Oryctolagus cuniculus: one gene and its partner. The protein of the gene in region 2 interacts with the protein of the main gene of each other region in a biochemical or structural test. Links are inferred from orthologs where the notes say so. Each region holds a gene or a part of one and is shown on either strand. Other genes may lie near its edges.

Region 1 (6,905 bases), on a different chromosome or scaffold from region 2:
GTAGACACAGCAGGGAGAGCCACACAGCAGTGAGGGAAGGGAAGGTGTGGACGTGGGCAGCGAGAGGGGAAGGTGTGGACACGGGCAGGGAGAGGCACAGAGCAGTGAGGGAGAGGAAGGTGTGGACACGGCAGGGGAGAGCCACACAGCAGTGAGGAGGAAGGTGTAGACGCGGGCAGGAGGAGGGGAAGGTGTGGACGTGGGCAGGGGGAAGGGAAGGTGTACACGAGGGCAGTGGAGAGGCACACAGCAGTGAGCGAGGGGAAGGTGTGGATGCGGGCAGGGGGAGGGCAAGGTGTGGACAGCAGTGAGGGAGGGGAAGGTGTGGATGCGGGCAGGGGGAGGGCAAGGTGTGGACAGCAGTGAGGGAGGGGAAGGTGTGGACACGGCAGGGAGAGGCACACAGCAGTGAGGGAGGGAAAGGTGTAGACGCGGGGGCACAGGGGCAGGAGAGACGCTCACATCAATCCACCGTGGTCCTCTTTAGCGCCTCTGGTCAAAGGTTTGCTGGGGGGTGGGAGGGAAAGGTAGGGGAGGGGTGACTGGGGACCCTCGACTGCCCCACAGGCCACTCCCCCCCAGCTCACTGAGTCCCAAGGCTGGGGCAGGGCCGAGGAGAACAAGCGGCAAGCAGCCCCCTCGGCCCTGCCATCTCCCCCCGCCAACTCCCAGACCAGGATTAGGAGAGGAGGAGGCGGGCCAGGGCAGACCAGTGTCCCTGCAGGCACTGGGCGGGGGGGGGGGGGGGGGGGCGCGGGAAAGCAGAATCCCTGGAGGGAGCCCGGGAGCCGAGGCTGCAGACAGTGCCCCACTGCGAGGAGGGGAGAGAGACTGGAGCCAGAGCAGCCCCGGAAGACAGCCTCCCAGAGCAGCACAGAACAGCTCAAGGCAACCAGCCCGCGGCGGGAGCCAGCCCTGCGCCGGGCATCGGCCACGCCATCAGCCGTGCCACCTCCAAGCCCGCAACCCGCTAGCACGCCTGGGAAGGCCACGCGGGGGAGACGGCTCAAGTGCCTGGGCCCTGCCACCCACGGGGAGGCCAGGATGGAGTTTCGGGGTCCTAGCCTTGGCCTGGACCAGCCCCAAGCGTGGCAGCCAAGGACAAGAGCCCCCGGCCCGCCCTTCATCAAGTCGTCTCTGTAAGGAGAGCCCTCGGGGTCGGGGCAGACAGAACCCGCAGCCCCCAGCACCGCCAGCGGGGAAGTGAAAGAAACGCCAGACTCGGCGGAGAGCTGGTCCCCACCCGACAGACACGAGGCCACGCAGGCTGTGGGGCCACCCAGACGCCCCCCACACCCAGGCTGGCCCGGGCACCTTCGCCGCCGCCTGTCCCGCGAGGCGCTCCGCTGGTCTCGGTTGCGCCGGTCCCGGCTCCGGCTCCGGCGCTTGCGGTCCCGGCTTCGCGAGCGGCTATGACTGCGCTTCCGGTGCCGGTTCTCCTTGTCCCTCTCTGCGCAAGGCGAGAGGCAGGGGCTGGGCTGAGTGGAGGGAGGACGCGGGCCCAGCCCACCCTGCACGCTGGTGGCTACGCCCAAGACCCAGGGAGGCCACCCCCAAGGGCAGGGACTGCAGGAGGAAGGGAGAGAAGAGGCCTCCTGGGTCCACAGCAGAGGGGACCGCGGACAGGGCCTGCTAGTGCCCCGGGGGTGAAGATACCTGCGGATGCTCAAGGGCTGAGGAGCCAGAGAAGACAGAGGAGGCTGGCTCCTGGTCCCCCTCGAGGGCTGAGGGGCCTGACCCCAGGGTCGTCCCTGAGAGGGGCAGGGCTAGACGCTGGGGAATCAAGAGACCCAATGATGCTTTCCTGAAGGGACCCAGCGACCCCTCAGGAAAGACGCGGGCACCGGCTGGCACCCACAGCCCCCCACGTCCGGCCCAGGAGCACGGAGCCAGGCGTGATGTGATGTGCCCGGATGCAGGACGCTCGAGTCATCCCTCTCCTGCAGGCAGGCCACGCGGGACCAATATGCCTCCATCCCCTCGGGGCGAGGACCAGGGACTCCAGGTCCCGCCAGGACCTCCGCAGGACACCGCGCGCCCCGGCACGGGCCCGACCGGGCCACCACACGCAGCGCAGGACAGGTCCACGCCCCCGTGGCCTCCGTGTCACACACTGTCCAACGTGGCTGCGCGTGCTCTGCCCCCAACCACGCACGCTCAAGCACGCACAACCGGGAGCACCGCCTGCATCCCCAGCCAGAACCTGCACCCAGGCTCGGCCACAGGACGGGCGGCCGGGACGCGCGCCAGCAGCCTGCACCCGCCACTGCTGGACACGGGGCCGGCGGAGCAGACAGTCCGCCTCCAACCTGCACGACGACACTCCCTCCGCGGAAGGCAAAGACAGAGAAACCCCGCTGGGGTGCGGAAGACAGAGACGAGGGCGCCGGCCCGCAGCCAGCACGCGAGCACCGCGCGGGCGCCGGGCGCCGGCCCCAGCAGCTCTGCTGCCCACGGGGACCGGCCCAGGAGGCGTCCCGCCGCCGAGGCTCAGCAGCGCGCAGGAAAGGGACGCCCGCGGGGCGCCCGGACGCAAACAAGGAAATCCCCTAGGCACAGGTCGCCAAGAGACGCAGGGAGACTGGCGCGCTGGGACAAAGACCCACGCACGGCACGGGGCACACGTGGGCCCCGGAGGAGGCGCCGCACACCTGCCGGACTCCGCGCCAGCTCCTCCCCGCTGACCGCAGGACGCCACGCGAACGCGACCGGAACTTGGCTCGAGCAGGCGCCGTCCCGCCCCGCGCGCCAGGTGCGCCGAGGGCCTAGCCGACGGCGGGAGGGCAGCCGGCCCGGCTCGCCCGACTCCGTGTCCGCCCTCCGAGCCCCTCCCGCAGCGGGGGGACCCGGGCCGTGCTCGCGAGGAAACGCGGGCGGACCGAACAAAGCGCCGGCCCCCAGCGAGGGGCGCAGCTTCCCTGCAGCGGGGCTCGCTCGCCCCATGAGGAATCTCTACAGCCAGAAACATTAGCAAAGAACACCGCACCCTCGGTACTCAGGCGGCAGGCAGGCCGCGGGAGGGGCGGGCTCCGTCCACCCCCGCCCCAGCTCGGGCCTGGGCCCCTGGACCTCCGCTGCTCCCGGCGCCCTCACTCTCGCCGAACGCGAGAAGCGGGCACGCAGCCCCGGGCGGCGGGGCGCTGCCGGGCACTGCCTGCCTCGGCCCGCAGCCGCGCCGTCCCACCTCCGCGCGGACACGCAGGAGGCCCAGCTAGGGGCCCCGGTCCACGCGAGGGGGAGGGGGCCGTCCCCGAGACCGCCATTTTGAAACAAAGGGGGCGTGGAGACGCAGCCCCGGCACAACCGGAAGCGGAAGAGTTGCAGCAGCGGGCGAAAAAGAAGGGGATTACAGGATCTAACATACTAATCGTCTTTGCCAAGAAAGGGAGAGAGCGAGCAGAGCTAGGGTCGACGACTCCGGCGCCAGCGCGCCGCGTCCCCCTTCGCCACCTCCGCGGGGACCACGTGGGCGCGGGCGGGCGCCGTGCGCATGCGCCACGGGCCCGCGCCCGCCGCCCCTGCCCCTCGCCGCGCCGCGGGCGGTCACGTGAGCGAGGCGCGCCGCGGGAGGGGGGGTGGATCGCGCGGCGCCGAGGAATGGGAAACGAGGGGGAAAATGGCGGGGGCCGAGGAGCCAAGCGAGGAGCCACCCCTCCCGCGCCGCCCCGCCACCCCGGCGCCCTCACCTTGTTTATTCTCGTTGAGCTGCCGCTCGAACTCGTCGAAGTCCGACATGCTGAGGCGGCCGCGTCGGGCCCTGTGCAGCGCTCGCCTCGCCTCGCCGCCCGCCCGCTCCGGCCGCTTCGGCTACTTCCGCCGCTAGCTTCGGCTACTTCCGGCCGCCGCCGGCGCTGTACCGCCTCCTACCTAATCAAGCCCCGGCAGCCCGCCCCGCCCAGGCTCCGCCCCTCGCCCCGCCCGACCCCCGCGAGCCCCGCCCCCGAGCCTGGCTCCGAAGCGCGTCGGCTCTTTCCGGACGGTCGGCCTCGGCGGTTTCCGAAAACGCCCGAAGCGAGGACCTGGCCGGCGTCTCGGGTTTCCGTAACTTTCCGGAAGTCAGCGCCTCGCCGTCCGGCTGTGTTCGCGGGTCCTCGCGTCCCTCGGCGCAGAGCCCTCTCCGCGGGTTCGGCTCCTCCCGACAATTCCAACCGCCCCAGTCTCTCCCTCTGCAGATCCGCCGCGCTGCTCCGCCGGACCCGCCTAAGCAATCGGCCACTGCCGACGACCTTTCCGAGGGTTTCGGCGCTCGCCAGAGGCTTCGGCTCTTTCCGGAGAGTCCGCTCGCGCACTCCTCCCCTACCGGAGAGCTTCGGCTCCTTCCGCCGCGGCTTCGGGAAGCCCCTCCCTCACGGAAGCGGCTTCGGCTCTCTCCGGCGGCGCTTCGGCTCCTTCCGGCGGCGGGAACCGAAAAGGGAGGGAGGACGGAGGCGAGGTGGGTCCGGGGCCCGGGTCCAGAGAAGGGGGCGGGGTCCGGGCTCTCGGCACCTGGCTCTCCCGATGGGAGAGAGGAAGGAAGGAAGGGCCGACTCTCCGGAGCGCCTGAGGCGGCTGCGCGAGGCAGCAGCAGCCTTCGGGCTGGAGGGCGCGCGCGGCCGCTGCGGAGGTTGCCAGCGCGGCTCTGCGCGCCTGCGCAGGGGCTGAGGCGGGCTATTGCGGCTGCGCGGAGGTCGGTCTGAGGCGGGGTGGCGGTGTCGGGTTCCAGGGCCCCCACTGCGCGTGCGCGAGGCTTTCCCTGCCTAAAAGGAGTCCGAGTTCCCGACCGTTAAGCACGACCGCCCGCTCCCGGTTGTCTTGGCAACTGCGTCCGCGCTCTCGCACCCCTGCCGCCGCGCGCACGCGTGGAAGGCGGTGGAAGCACCACTTCCGGGACGCGGCCAACGTCGCGCTGCTGCCCCCTGGCGGCAGACGGCCGCCGTGCCACGCCGCGCCGCGCCCGGGGACCGCCCATGCCGGGGGTCGTCGGGCCCCGCGCCGCTAACGCACGGCGCCGCCCCCGGGGGGCTCGCCCCACCCTGTGCTCCCCAACCCCTCGCTTCCCCTCCGAGGAAAACGCTGGGGCCCAGTCTGTGCCAAAGCGTCACGTCTCTGTTTTATTTTTAATTTTTTAACTTAAATTCCGGGCGCCGTCTGCCCGAGCGTCACGTCTCTCGTCTTTCTTTATTGGATCTGAGCGAGCACGGGTCACCGCTTGAAGCGGTAGGTGATGGGCAGCAGCAGCTTGCTCTTCTTGAGCGCCTGCACCTTCTTGAGCGTCTCGTCGTCCAGGGCCAGGAAGCAGCGGCGCGAGTACTCGAGCAGGCGCTCCTTGGAGGGGTCGAACTCGCCCACCTCGGCCAGCTTCTCGGGGGCCACGATGAGCAGCTCGGCGATGGGCGTGGTCAGCGCCACGGTGTTGCGGTCCACGCGGTGGTGCTCGAAGGCCCGCGACATGCTCTTGAGCTTCTGGAAGGTGCCCAGGATCTTCTTGTAGCGGCACAGCACGCCGTCGGCGTCCTTCACTGCGGGGGGACAGCGGGCGGCGGTCAGGGCCGGGGCCGCGGCGCGCGGGGCCAGGGCGCGCGCCCCGGGGCCTCGGCCCCCGCTCACCCCGCTGCCGCTCCCGGGCCTTGGGCTTCCCGAAGCGCCTCCGGCCGGCGCCCGCCCGCGGCCTCTGCCTCTTCCTCTCGCCGGCGCTGCCTTCCTCGGACGCGGCGCTGAGCGACGAGGCGGCCGACTCCAGGTCCGAGGCCTCGCCCCCCGCGCCGCCGCGGCTGTCCCCCTCCGCCCGCCGGGGCCCCGGCTTGGCCCGGCAGTGGTCCTCTGGGGGTGGGATGGGGGGCGGGGGAGAGCAAAGCCCGCAGGTGAACGGCGGGCCCAGGCCGGACGCCTGGCGGCCGCGCTGACCCGCAGAGCCCCTGGAGGGCAGTGGGAGCCCGGGAGACAGGGGCTCTGGGCCTGGTAGGCCGGGGACAGCCAAGGCCTCCAGCTGCACCGGGGGCGCTCCCCGGGGACACGGGTGCTGGAAAGGCCCTGTACTGGGCTCCCCAGGGGCCCGACCGTCGCGGGAATCATCCGCGGGGGAGACAGCCAGATCCTGACAGCGTGGGCACGGGCACCACGGGCCCGTGCGTGGCGCCGGGTTTGGGGAGGAGGGGGCTCGCAGAGAGAGGGGCAGCAGGGGCCCCGCTGGGGCTGGGCGGCGGTCAGCACGCGTGGGTCCGCCAGTAAACCGGCCGGGCTGCTGCTGGTCCTGGACCAGCACGGGAGGGGGCAGGGGCACGGGGTCGCGGCCCGCGCGCCCACCTGCGTCCACGCGCGCGGAGGAGATGAACTTGTCCAGCTGGCAGCGCAGGAAGTCCCGCTCCTCCTCCAGGTCCTCGATGCGCTTCTGCAGCCACGAGTTCCTCTCCAGGGCCAGGTGCAGCTGCGCCTTGACGCTGTTCATCAGGGCCAGGGTGGGCGACGCGGCCTCCGCGGGCTCTGCGGCGGGGAGCGCACCGGTCACCCTGCGGGCCGGCGGCCCCGCGCCTCCGCGCCCCCGCGCCCCCGCCGCTCACCCTCGAAGCCCGCCTGCGAGGAGTTCAGGCTGTAGAAGAGCTGCGAGTCCAGCGGGGGCGCCTCCTCGAAGGGGACGGAGACCTCAAAGCCCTCATCGTCTTTCTTCACTGGACAGGAGAGGCCCGCGGTCACGCGCCAGGCGGCCGCAGGCCCCGCCGGGGCCGCCCCCCACCGCGGCCCCGCGTCCTCACTCGTCCGCCTCCGGCCGCTCCGCTCGTTCATCGCCGGGCTTTCTGTGGACCCCGCAGCGGAGCGCCTCAGGGGCACTGGACAGAAACAGCAGCCACAGATGGAGGGGCCCGCCCGGGGTCTGGGGGGGAGGGGACCCCATGCTCCAGGACCCAGAGCTGCGGGCGCCTAGCCGAGAC
Region 2 (7,004 bases):
TGCACATTAGCAGGAAGGTGGATCAGAAGGAGAGGAACCAAGAGCCAAACTCCAGTACGTGACTCCGGTACCCGAAGTGGCATCTCAGCTGTCCCACATGCCTGCTCCAAGATTCAGTGTTTTTTGAATGAATATTGTTTTCTAATTATAAGCAGCTGACTTAGCAGATGTGGCACTTAGGGATTTTATGGAGGGCTGACTATACATTTAATCTACTTGAAAATAAGATTACAAAAGAAATTAAATATCTTAAACTATATTTAGGTATAGATAACATGCTAGAAGTCAGTAGATAATGAACTTTCAGTGGATCTGCAAGGAGTTTCTTCACACTGTTTTCATCCTTTATAAATGCCAGTGACTCACTTTCCACAGGGTGCCCACTTTGAGTCAGTGTTCTCAGCAGTGGGGATTCAGCTGTAATGAGCCCTCCATGCCAGTATTATTTTCAGAGTAAGTTGGCCAGCACTTGGGGATGAATACTGATGTTGAAAAAAGAATCGAACGCCCCACTTTTAGTTTTTTGTTCAAATGTCACATCTTTACTGAAATGTTACCATCCCTTCTCCAATTACTCATGCTCAGAACTCTGTGTTTAGCACTTACCACATTTTATCAGACATAACTGATTGGGAATATTCAGCTGAGAATCAGGAGAACGTGGCACTTTTTATCGAAATACAATTCACATACAACAAAACCCACCATTCGATGTGACCTCTCAATGGGTTTTCATGTAGTCACAGAATTGGGCCACCACTACCACTACCCAGTACCAGAATCTCGTTAGCATCCAAGAGGGACTTCAGGGGCATGTCGTCACCTCCAGTTACTCGCTTTTCTGTCTATAGATTCGCCTATTCTGACCGTTTCCTAGAAACGAGTCATCCCATCTGTAGCTATTTGTGTGTGGCTGCTTTCACGTACTATATTTTCCAGGTTCATCCCTGTTGCAGCATATATCAGTACCTCATTCCTTTTTACAGCTGAACATATCCCATTGTATGGATGTAGCACATTTTCTAAACCACTCACCGGCTGATAGACGTTAGATTATTTCCACTTCTTGGCTATTGTGGATACTGGTGCTGTGAGCATTTTTCTGTGGACCCAATTATTCTGGATCATGTAATTCAAAGCGCGAATTTTGTGCCACACTGCCTTCTGGTTAAGGCCACGCTTGCTACTTACTAGCTGTGGGATTTGGGGCAAGTTACTTTTCTGCCTCATTCTTATATATTAACTGGCTATGCATATGACTCACTTCTTGTTTTGTTGTGTGTTTTTTTTAAACATTCTTAGAACTGTATCTTGAAGCTACATTTAATCTGTTAAAAACTGAAAAATAAAAAGGAAATGTAACTAAAAAAATTAAAAATTCATTAAAAATTTTTTTTATTTGAAGGGGAAAGAGGGAGAGACAGACAGAGACATCTTCCATTCTCTGGTTCACTCCCAAAATGGCCACAGGTCAAAGCCAGGCACTCAGAAATCCATCTGGGTCTCCCACGTGGTGGGGGGAGGGCATTGGACCATCATCCTCTGCTTTCCAGAAAACTGGATGGGAAATAGAACAGCCTGGACTTCAACAGGCACTCTAACATGGGATGCTGGCGCTGCAGGTGGCAGCTTAACCTGCTGTGTCACAACGCTGGTCCCATGGTGGTGGTGGTTTTATTTTTTTAATTGTATGGAAAGTACTGGTATACACTGTTAAGTCTGAGTAAAATTTATTAATGCTTTGAGCTCTTTATTAATAGGTTTGCTTTCATCTTGTCTTTGCAACTCCAGAGCCTCAGCCGTCTTTTCCCCTTTAATCGAAGAATAAAAGAAATATTTAGAGTTCTTTTTGGGTAGCAGGGTGTGCCAATTTCAGATAACTGCATTTTGAGATTGAAGGAGGACGCTAAGGCTGTGTACTGCTAAGAGGCTGGCTTCTCCAATTTACTTTTTCAATAAAGCAACTCAGAACACCCATCAGATGCAACTAATTAGTACAATTTTAGGAGGTCTTCTTGTAATCACCAGATATTATTTCATAAACTGGATACACAGCCGAGTGCTGACTTAAGACTCCAATAAGTCAAATAGCGAAAACTCCTTCCGCCTCAACTCTATGATTGGTTTAGGCGCGATCCAGGTCTTTTTTGATTGGCTCACCCCGTGGAAATGCTTTCGGCCTGAGCTACTAGTGGCCAATATGGCTCCACAATTGGGTCTCCTGGAAGCCGGCAGACACGTGGCTACTTCACGCTGGGCGAAACGTGGGAGGACCTAGTTTCGCTTACCGCGAGAGGGCGCCGGTGGTTCCTCTTTGCTAAAGTCTCATTTCCCATAAAGCCTCCGAGCGACCAATCCTCTGGCTGTCTCCATACCGCTTTCAAAGTCGGCGGGTCCTTTGTCCAATAGTAAAGCAGATACCGCCTCCACCTGGAGGATGGATAGAAAGCTTCACCAATCATCTCATAGACTTCCGCTATCTCCGCCTCTCTCGCACGGGATTGACGATCCTTCCGGCCAATAGGTGGCGTCGGGTCGGCGGGTGGATGAACGCGGCCCTCTGTAATGGCGGAGCGTGGCGGGGACGGGGGGGACGGTGAGCGATTCAACCCGGGGGAGCTGAGGTAAGGGGCGCTGCCCTCTCGCACATCTCGGCGCGCTGGACTCCCAGTGGCTAGGCCTGCTCGTGGAGATCCGGAGCGGACGGTGGGCAGCAAGGACGGGGCGGGTTGGGGCCAGAACCGCATGGGGTTAGAGAAGGGGGAAGGGAAGGTGGCTTGAATGAGAGCCGGGCCGGGGCCGTGCCGCGCGGCCTTCTGCGCGGTCTCGGGGTGCTCCCTGCGGCTTCCGCGGGGCCCAGTTGTCCGTCGCGGCCTGCAGGCCGGGCCGGGCGCTCCCGGCTTGGAGCCCCACCTCAGCCGCGTGCCGCCTGGGCCTCTGCCGCCCTCCGCCTGCCTTCCCGGCTCGGCTCGGCCGCGGCCCGCTTCTCCCCATCGACGTCCCTAGGCGGTGCGGTTAACTCCCAGGGGCCTCTCCCGTCTCTGGCTCAGCCTTCTCCACGCCCTCCGGGCCGTCCACGTTTGCTGTTTGATCTCGTCCCCCACCCCCACCCACTTGCCTTTCTTAACTTCCTGTGGCTTGTCTCCCTCGGTCTCTCTCTATCCCTCCGTATCCCGGAGCTGTGAATAACAAAAGCGGCAGCGGGGGGTGAGGCGCTTACTTGGGGCTGTCTCTCCTCTCCTGCCCGAGCCCACCCGCTGCAGGAATTGGTGCTCCGGCTCTGTAGGCCCCAGCGCCGAGGGCCCTTCGGCCAAGTTGCTCGCGCGGCTTACGGATGAGGAAACCGAGCCTCGTAGGGGTTTGAGTGCGGGGTTAAGACCGCTTGGGTGGAGCAGGTTAAGCCGCGGCAGGCAGGCTATGGACGTGCAATTTCGGGTAATTCTGTTCTTCTCCTCCACCCCCCCCCCCCCCCACCCGTGCTCTAAAAAAGGAGCGCAGTGACCTTCCTTCCTCGGGAATTCAGTGCCTGCGGAGTTTGTCGTTAGAGTTTGATAAGAAAAATGTGACCAGGATAAAAAACAAGCAACAAGCCGGTTTTTGAGGGGATGGGAAAGAGGTCCTGTGCTTGATGTATATCTAGTGTACTTTCTCCCCACCCCCCCACCCCCGCCCCGATGGGAGAAATGTCATTTCAGATGTTCAGCTGACATTCTGAATTGTGCCGTTGTCAGCGTTTAAAATTGAAAAACGCAGTGGAGATGATGACGAGTCTAATACTGTCCAGAGCTTATTGTTAGAGTTTTAGGAGAAGATAATGTCTTTCAGATTCTGCAATGTTAGGCACAGAAATTTCTACTTTGGCAGTACTTATTTCAGAGGTAGTTCTTAAGCCCATCAGCCCCATATGCACAGTGGTTAATGAGTGAACAAAGTGGGTAGTGGGTATCTTCCAGTGTTAATGGTGGAGCTTGTTCTTGATGCTGATCTCAGAAGATTACTGCTTGGCTAGTCTCAGATGGATTGATTAGGTAACATTGTTTTATGTTTCATGGAGTGTTTTCAGCTGTACAGTCATAGCCTTTTAGACTATTTGTAAACTAGATATTGCAAAACTGATTTAGGTAGGGCATTAGATTAGGTGTGCTGTTGCAGGTAGTTTAGCCTCTTGGGTTGGAAGTTGCAGAGCGTGTGGATAGACCTTTGTTTTAGCATTTATCATGATTTATGAGAAATTAGCTGTTCATGTGTTCTGTGCTGGCAGAAGTTTGGACTCAGTCTTTATAAAAATCTATCCTGGATGTATTTCGTGGCTGTGTCTATCACAGTGGCAGACAGAATAATCTATAGATAAATAAATGAAGACAGGAGACTTAGAGGTGGTACCCTTGCTGGCCTGTGTTCATGAGGCAGTTACAGACCTGGATGCTGGCAGTAGATCCTGAACCAAATCATGAGAGGCCTTTGCTCTCCCCTTTGTTTCCATTCTAATTGAGACTGATCCAGATTCTGAACTAAACCAACCACATGAAATGAAAAACCCAATGTGCAAGTTTGAAATGACTTATCCAAAGTCGATGGGTAGTGGCCAGGGTTTAGACTGAAACTTAGGTCTCCTTACTCAATTATTGTAATTTGCCTCCCATGTACATCTTGCCCCTCCAGTTAAAGTGTTTGCAGTCTAGTTTTCACCATTGAGATTGCCTATCTATATAGAGCACTCCTAGAAAAATGTTTGTATTTCCATGGTGTTCTTGTGAATTTTTGTTTGTTTGTTTCTAGTCTCATAGATAGTCTTTTGCTTCCCAAAAAGGTTTTAAAGCAGCAGGAAGTACAATAGATGGAAATTCAGAGATCCAAATGCCATCTGTCCCTTTATGGTTGAGGGCCATTAAAGTAACTTTCAAAGTCATGTTTATCTAACACATACAAGTTCCCATCCAGTGGTTCACAACTTGATTCATGTCTCCACTACTTGAGCCATTATCACTGCCTCCCAAGGTGTACACTAATAGGAAGCTGGAATGGGGAGCAGAACCTGGAACTGAACCTGGACCCAGGCACTCGGATTTGGAATGCGATGTTCCAGCTGCCAGCTTCATTGGTCCAGCAGAGGCCCACCCAGTAGAGTCATATTTACATGGATCCTTAGGGTATGTGTTTTCCTATTAATACTTAGGACGTGAAGTACTTGCAGTCTAGATTTTCTTGCCTGTAGAAATGAGAGTAAGAATACCCTGCTGTTAACTATTGACCAACTGTCTTAAGCAAATTGTTTTTCTGTGCTATGGTTTCCTCTGTAAAATGGAACCAGACATACCTTATTGGGTTATAGTAAAGATTGGGAGTTAGTACACTGACATCCATGTAACTTTGCCTGGAATATAGGAAGGTACCCAGTGTTCACTGTCATTGTTAAAGCAAGAAAGGCAGTGCCACAGTATACTAAAGGGAATCCTGTACTATTAGTAAAGGCAATACAAAAGTAAAAGTGAGAGATTTCTTTATAACATTTCTCATAATTGCTTACTGAAATTGGGTAATGAGCCACAGACTGTGAGAGACTACAAATGGGGAAGCAGCTTGAGGTGGCATTTGAACTGAAGCTGAATTATGAGAGAAGGCATCATATAAACATCTGGGGACGTGCCAAACAAAGGGTATAAGTGCAGAGGCTTCTAAGTAATGAACTTAAAGTTTTCTATGATTGGAAAGACTAGATAGAGTCTTTGGGCAGGTCAACAGGGCCAGGCTATATAGGTCCTAGTAATATATATTTACCAGTGTAATAGTAGGTAGCACTCTTAATAGTAATACCACGTAACACTTGCCAATACTATTACTGTGCTAATGTTGCAGTAACAGTAATAATAGCTTATAGGTTGCACTTAAGTGCTCGGCACTGTTTTTTAAGTACTTGATTGGGTCATATAATCCTCACTGCAGGATATACTGAGGTTATTGTAATGAAGCAGTATATATAAAGAACTCAGTAAGTTGTACAAAAACCAGCTTCAAAAAATGGCAGCTGTTGGCATTTGAAGAAGGAAGTTATGTGCATTTTATCACCAGTTTAGTGAGATGTAAATTAAAATGCCTTTTGTCCCCCACCCCCCCCACAAAGATTTGCTTATTTATCTGAAAGGCAGAGTTAGAGTACAAGAGAGAGAACATGAATGAGCCATCCACTGGTTCAGTCCTCAAATGGTTGTCGCTGTCAGGGGCCAGCTGCTCCATCTGGTTCTCCCATGTGGGTAGCAGGGGCCCAGGATTTTGGGCCATCTTCTCCTACCTTTCCAGGCACATTAGCAGGAAGTTGGGTAGGAGGTGGAGCAGCTGAGACTTGAACTGGCACTCATAAAGGATGCTGGCATTGCAATTGGCAGCTTAACCTGCTACATGACAGAGAACCAGTCCCCAAAGTGCCTCTTTGAAAGACAAAGCACTCTTAGATTTTGCTGAGGTCTGAAAATAATGTTCAAGTTTACTGAGTGCTGGGTACTATCCTAAAAGTTTCACTGTTATTTATCTCTGAACCAAAATATGAGGTAGCTTTTCTTTTTCCCGAGTGGACTCAGACTCAGAAATTACATAACTAGTATGATAGAGCCCTAATGCAACTTTTTCTTGATTCTAGAAAATAAGTGCCTCACTTTTAAGCTATGACCAGGAATTATGAAATTCAAAGGAAAAGAATATAGTAGATTTGGCAAAAATAGGTAGACTAGAAGGAAATCTAAAATTAAGCGATGTTATTTGCTCAAGGCTGAAACAATATCTTTTTGGTTAACTTTTTTCTGTCCAAAGGTAAGACATTTCCTTCAGTAACAGTGGCTTTGGGGGGGGGGTGTATATAATTTTGAAAAAGATCTGATTATTTTGATATAGTCCATATTCCTTTTTACGAGAACTGTCTTTAACTCATATTTTCTGGCCTTTGGAGCATAGGATCATTTGCAAATTTGGCTAAACATACTTGGTGTACCATGTGGACATGTTTACCATCC

The links.
Region 1: the proteins of TCERG1 (region 2) and U2AF2 form a complex in vitro, tested with the Homo sapiens proteins (2 studies listed by BioGRID). The link is inferred for Oryctolagus cuniculus from reciprocal best matches to the Homo sapiens genes TCERG1 and U2AF2.

What each region holds. Positions count from the first base shown.
Region 1 is NC_091449.1:3,336,036-3,342,940, forward strand, and holds the start of U2AF2 (splicing factor U2AF 65 kDa subunit), read right to left. Parts: upstream 3,827-6,905; 5' UTR 3,736-3,826; coding exon 3,687-3,735; intron 1,451-3,686; coding exon 1,315-1,450; intron 508-1,314; coding exon 463-507; intron 1-462. Other genes in the region: CCDC106 (coiled-coil domain-containing protein 106), read right to left, coding at 5,182-5,498, 5,587-5,799, 6,283-6,459, 6,537-6,759. UniProt on the Homo sapiens protein: Plays a role in pre-mRNA splicing and 3'-end processing. By recruiting PRPF19 and the PRP19C/Prp19 complex/NTC/Nineteen complex to the RNA polymerase II C-terminal domain (CTD), and thereby pre-mRNA, may couple transcription to splicing.
Region 2 is NC_091437.1:33,945,810-33,952,813, forward strand, and holds the start of TCERG1 (transcription elongation regulator 1), read left to right. Parts: upstream 1-2,486; 5' UTR 2,487-2,565; coding exon 2,566-2,624; intron 2,625-3,220; exon of another isoform or gene 3,221-3,353; intron 3,354-4,998; exon of another isoform or gene 4,999-5,150; intron 5,151-7,004. UniProt on the Homo sapiens protein: Transcription factor that binds RNA polymerase II and inhibits the elongation of transcripts from target promoters. Regulates transcription elongation in a TATA box-dependent manner.